Linked DNA regions of Drosophila melanogaster. The protein of the gene in region 1 interacts with the protein of each later gene in a pairwise test. Each region holds a gene or a part of one and is shown in the gene's direction. Other genes may lie near its edges.

Region 1 (3,450 bases):
CTTCTCCTCCAGGTGCTTCACCAGGCAACTCTTGCAAACTGTAATTGCAACAAACACTGACGTTATTGGGCAGGTAGTGTTCCATGCCGGACCAACTCACATGTGTGCAGACACTCCGTCACCGTGGTGGCATCGATGAAGTAGCCGCCGCAGATCTTGCACGTTATGTGCGGATTGATCGTCTTCAGCTTCACGCGCCGCTCCATGCTGGCCCCCCGATTGTGTGCTGAACTACGTTACTATATCCTATTTATCCCTATTTTGCAGCGGACCGATGGCTTGCCTTGCCTTTTCGATTTCCCACTCCCGCGCGGAAAACGCTCAAAACGGCGGATGCGCTCGCTTCCGATTAGTGGGAATGCTCGCGCACGCTTGTACAGGCACTCGGCATTGTGGCCAGCGGATTTTGGTCGCGATTTGTTTCCTTCTTGGTTGTAATTTGAAACAAATAAAATAGAAATCACGACTAAATAAATTGTGTGTACGTGTGAGCTAGCGATGGGCGATAGTTGCGTACCTGCTACTAGTCGCGATTATTTCACCGTGACAAGTCACCGCTTTGGCGGCATGTCACGACTCCATATTTTTCAAGTACAAAATTGACGTAGCACAGCAAATTTTAAACAATATGAATCAAGCATACCAATTGCATACTACTTTTATGAAATCCTGCAGCATACTTCCAAAATATTTATAAATAGCGCTCATTGTAACCCAGTGATTTCTTCACACCTTGTGTCACAGCCATCGTAGCCCAATGCATGCATGTGTGGGTGAATCGTGTCACCATATCGATACCGTGACTTTGTCCACCGCGCCGGGCCGGTCCCAACTATCGTATGTGCGTGGGTGGCCGGAGTCTGGCAACGCCCTTTGCTAATTTCAGGGTGGTCACACAATGCAAGGTGGTATATATGGAAATTAACAATTTTTTAAAATATATTGTGAAAACTAGTTTACATATTTTAAAGAGGTAATAAAACATTTGTTTTTAGAAGCATAACAAAATAGCTTATATAAGAAACCGTAATTTCGTCATTAAATATAATCTGTTACCTTTCGGTTTAGAAATTTTGAAATAATTTAAAAATAAGCCAATTCAAATTATTTTCATGTAATTTTTCAAAAACCGAAGGAATTCAACAAATCTGAACGCAAATATACGTTTATATGTATGGTGTCTATGTGCATAGTGGGGGGATTTATTTGTGTTCAGTTTGATTGTGTCGACAATTTTGAAGTTTTGTTTTCGGTTCCCTAATTTAATATGTACTTGGCGTATTGCGGCTCATACTTGTCGATGTAGTGCTGGACAAACCGACACCTTATAATAATGAAGTGCCCATTCAACAGTGCGTAGTCCAGTGCCGACTTGGCCAGTAGCTTCCCAATGCCATGTCCGCCCAGTTCCTCCGGGACGTTGGTGCTGTTGATGGTCATCACACCGTCCCTGATGGAGTATACCAATACAGCCCGGAGCTCGCCAATGTCGGTGTAGAACCGACCTCTCTTATGCCGGACAACAATGTGCGTACCAAAACATCTTTCCTGCGAATTTAGGTTTGGAACCTTTAAAATTTGACCAGTTAGGGTGTGGTTACTTGTGGGGATGGTGTAATCTCTCGAGCACAAGGAATACGTTCTTCGGCCACCTTGCAGAATCAGAATTGGAAGCAATTTGGAAAGCATTTCTTAATTTTTGTGAGTAGTTTCAGGAATTCGGGCCGAATAATCATACTTCACATCATAGTGACGATTTTCGAGTGACCAGCTTAAATTATTTAGTAAATAGTTCACACTAGCAACGCACCTGCGAGGTGAATTGATAAAGGATTGGGGATTAATCGCGGTGCATTTTTCCAGCTTATCTACAGCTACATAAGTATAATATCTAAATCAGTTCAAACATTGAAGATTATTTCCGAATCCCTTCTTACTGGCAATGTGACCGTACTCGCGCTTACTTATTTTGCTACCAGCCATCAGCTGTTGCTCGGCTATTGTTTTTGTTTTTGTTACTTGGATTGCTGGAGGCGTAGTTTTCTGCTTTTGATAATTACTCATAGCAAAAGCAGAGAAATGGCGCTGGTGGATCACGATTCCTGGGACATCGAGTACGAGGGCTGCGAGCGACTGCGGCATCAGCTGCTGGTATACCTCAACCAGCGGCAGCAGCTCAATCCGAGGACGAGCCAGTTCGTCCAACTGACAAGCAGCATTCAGACGGGAATAGAGCAGCTGGCCAAGGACATGAAGCACCTCAAGGTGGTGCTGGACAACGCCATCACCTGGGAGACGAGCCCGGAGGAGGAGCTGCAACAGCGGCGCATCGACTGGGATAGACTTACTTCGCAGCTGCGCGAGATCCGCGAGAAGTTCGCAAACAGTAGCCGCTCCAATGTCCCGGCCGCATCCGGTTCTGCTTGGCAGGATCAGGATCTCGGCCCAGGTCACAGCAATTCCTCGCGGAATACCGCCTTGGATGTGGAGGCTCTGAAGCAGAAAAAGACCGAGATGCTGGCGCAGCAGAACGAAGGACTCGAGGTTCTATCAGCCACATTGTCCAGACAGCGCCAACTGGCCACACAGCTGGGCAACGAGGTGGAGGACCAGAACAGTGGGTATTCCCCAGTCCCTGCACTACCAATGCTAATCCCTACCTCCTTGTAGATATCCTTGACAACTTGGCCAATGCCATGGACCGTGTGGAAACGGGTGTGCAGCGGGAAACACAGAGCATTGGACAGGTTAACCGGCGGGACAGTACCTGGGGCTACTGGCTCGTCATCATAGCCTTGTTCGTCGCCATCATTGTCGTGGTCTTCGTCTAGCTCCCACGATCCATTCCAGTTGTTATACTACTTTATACTATGACCTGCGTGGAATGTCTATCTGTTAACCCAAAGTTTGATTATTTATGTATACACCAATTAAAGTAGGATTTATAAGTATTTACGTTCGCGGATCGATCCCCTTGATCAGGTTTATTTAGTCGTTACATTACGGTTAACAGATGTACAGGTGTTTATATACTTAAGCCAAATCGGAGGCGTAGGGCACGTTCGCCAGGTGCCCGATGGCGCCGACGGCCAGCTTGGAGCTGCCCACCTTCTTGGCCGCCTCCTGGACCTGCGACTGCGAGATGCCATCGATTGCGCCAAGCAGGGCGTCCGCCTCCAGCACGTTCCGGGTGAGCGCCGCCTGGCGACCGATCTCCTTAATTAGACCACCGTCCGACGAGTAGCGCGAGATGATGCGCGCCTTCAGAAGAGCCTTGCCTCTGGCCACATCCTTATCAGACACCGAAGCCGACTTCAGGCCGCGCACCAGGAACTCCACGGTCTTGCCAATGTCCTTGGAGTCGGCGGAGACCACAAAACCGAACAGACCAGCGTCCGAGTAGCTGGCATTCACAGCCTTGACAGAGGCTCCGACGCCGCCGGCGCAGTT
Region 2 (2,896 bases), on another chromosome or scaffold:
CTCTTTACGCAATACTATTGAATACAGAAAAATAAGCCATCAAAGTCAGCATTATTTGCAGTGTTTGCCGACCACTTCCCCGATAAGCCATACATATAGAGTTACGTAACTGGAGATCGGCGACTCGAGTGGCCGGGCTTTGGCTTTATATAGCTAATTAACTGGACGATCGACCAGGAGCACTTGTGTGCAACTCGGCAAAATACTATACTTCAGATGTGAAATTGCTAGATTTCTAGAATCGATCAGATTTTCCCCATTCATAAACTGGGTCTGCGACTGTGGCTAATCAGCGCAATACTGATTGATCGATTGGAAGTGCCATTGGACAATTTATAGAGCGATCCATAAATCATAATCGACTGGTATTTATTGTGCGCTATTCGCAACTACTCGAGCCCAGCTTTTAGGGTTTCCGTTCCAGCTGGAGATCTTTGTGGGGACGCAAGGCTTCTGGAAACCGAGACCCCGAGAAAAAGATCACATGATAGAACCCCCCCATATGATTATGATGATTGCATAAAACTCGAAAACTCGCGACTTTGCAAAGAGAGCGCGACTCACAGATACTCTGGAGAGTATTATATTCACATGACAAGGGTTCGACTAACACACACACACACTGCGAACGTAGTAGGTGCGTACCTGAGTATCTCAGAGATACTCGGGGCTTACGAAAGAGATAGCGCTACGCGTATCTGCCGCTCTGACTTTAGCTGCGACTTCTGGCAGGTGTTTGCACAATGGGTCCCATGACAGGTGTGCCCCGCAGCCCCCAGTAAGCTCACTTTTCCGACCAGTAGCTGTCAGCAGCCAGCATCACGTGCCAAAGTGCATTCAAATTGGGCTTAATTGCACATACTCCCTGCTGCCAAAGCACGTGCTTTGGATGGCTAGTTTACAGGGGATATGGGATATATACGGGTGGATAACCCGTGGCACAGCTTTTACACCTCGAACCCGCCGGGTTTTTCCAGTTGCTTCGAGTTTTTTCGAGTTTTTCGCTTACCTTCACAGCTCCGAAAACGCTTTTTATGTCAAAGACACACCAGATTCGATTCCCCGCGAGTGCGAGCGATAAATTTAGAACTTGTTTGTTGCCGAGCGAGAGTATCTTTATTCGAATCTGAATCTGAATGGAGCGCAGCACACGTCTGCTCACCGCCAGCGATCGACTGCGTTTAAATTTGGCACTCGCTGCCGCGACTTCGGTTCGAAAATCTCGCGATCGCCTCGAAATGCCTCGCACTCTCTGTTACTCAGCACACACACCCTGTGAATTCAGGCGGCTCTCTCGGCGCGGGCATGCCAACTATGTATGATCGGTGACCGTTATCGCAAATCAGAAATCGACAAATACCCGTACTAAAGTCAAAATCCTCGAGTGCTACATGTGTCTACCAAAAAAATGGTCAGTTTCCAAAAACCTAATCACTCTTAGGATCACCCAATTAATCACCATTAATATGTGATATTTTTGCAGTAACTAGATGTGCTTGTTGATAGTGAGGAAGCCAATCTCAAAAAAAAACCAATTGAACTAACACTTCTTACAATTTAAACTTTTAATTAGAATTTAGAATATAAAATAATATTAAGCTAATTTGGTAACAGTTTCATTTTAAATTTCAACTGTTTTAAGTGCTGTAAAGTGCATAAAGTGTTAACAGGTGGCTCCACGCACAACGCGTTAGTACCTTACCAAATAGCGTTTTCACTGCACCGCTCACCACGGCCACACTCTGCCTTTGTTTTGTTTTGATATTCCCACTGCATCGCATTTAATTTATTAAAAGCTGTTACCAAATTATGTCCTACGCCGGCTATAGCCAGCTGCCCAGCGGCAGCGACCAGGAGCGCAGGCAGGCGCAGCTCGCGGCCAGCACCTACGACGTGCTACAGCGGACGACGGACAGTATCCAGCGATCCAACCAGATTGCCATCGAAACGGAGAACATGGGGGCGGAGGTAATTACCCAGATAGTAGCCATTAACAGGGCTAACTAATGCTCGCTTACGCATCAACAGGTACTCGGCGAACTGGGCGAGCAGAGGGAGTCGCTGCTACGCACCACGCGCCGCCTGGAGGACGCCGATCAGGATCTGTCCAAATCGAGGGTCATCATTCGGAAGTTGAGCAGGGAGGTGCTCTACAACAAGATCATCCTAATCCTGATTATCATTCTGGAGGTGGGCATACTCGTCGGCTTGCTGGTGCTGAAGTTCGCTCACCTGTGAGCCAATGCCATTCTATTCCAAAGTCGTAACCACCAAACAGGCGATGGACTATATATACCTATTAATCGTTACGAATTCTTTGTCCTAGTTAATAAGCTTATAAATGTATATACTCCACTAAAATGCACTTCCAATTCAAAAAGGTCAGTTTTAGGATATACCCAGCGATGAATCGGGTGGTTGATTATGTTTATTCATGTTGGCTAAAGCGTTAATGCCTTAGACGTCTATAATATGTATTATGGTAGTAAAACACAGATAAAATCGGGTCTGGACATCGGAAGCTCTGCACTCCGAAGAGTTTAGCCCAGTCCCAACGCATATACATACGTATGCTATAACAATGATAATATGTAGTTCGTGCAGCACGCTATGCCACGACTATTTGGCAAAAAGCAACGTTAATTACATTCAGTGGGCGACAACGAGATAGTAGAACATCCTGAACAATGTCTGCATAATACTTGATCTATGATAAACGGTTACATATATGTAAGTATGTGGGCATCGCTTTGGGGATGCTTCTTTGTTCGAGAGATGTTTGGGATTTCGCAGAGCTGCGCCTCCTCATTCCTTTGGTGCAGCAGCTCTCCGCTTCAGTTGCCTTCAATTGTCCTTCGGAAGAACGATGGACCAGCCGAAAACGCGGCGATCGAAG

What was found.
Region 2: the proteins of Syx8 (region 1) and Vti1b interact in a two-hybrid assay, tested with the Drosophila melanogaster proteins (one large-scale study listed by BioGRID).

The regions. Positions count from the first base shown.
Region 1 is NT_037436.4:16,585,608-16,589,057, reverse strand, and holds Syx8 (syntaxin 8), read left to right. Parts: upstream 1-2,000; 5' UTR 2,001-2,079; coding exon 2,080-2,617; intron 2,618-2,670; coding exon 2,671-2,831; 3' UTR 2,832-2,950; downstream 2,951-3,450. Other genes in the region: l(3)73Ah (lethal (3) 73Ah), read right to left, coding at 1-38, 101-206; CG32163 (uncharacterized protein), read right to left, coding at 1,258-1,689; UQCR-C2 (Ubiquinol-cytochrome c reductase core protein 2), read right to left, coding at 3,034-3,450.
Region 2 is NT_033777.3:18,397,983-18,400,878, forward strand, and holds Vti1b (vesicle transport through interaction with t-SNAREs 1b), read left to right. Parts: upstream 1-1,726; 5' UTR 1,727-1,809; coding exon 1,810-1,968; intron 1,969-2,028; coding exon 2,029-2,238; 3' UTR 2,239-2,357; downstream 2,358-2,896. Other genes in the region: Wdr37 (WD repeat domain 37), read right to left, coding at 2,845-2,896.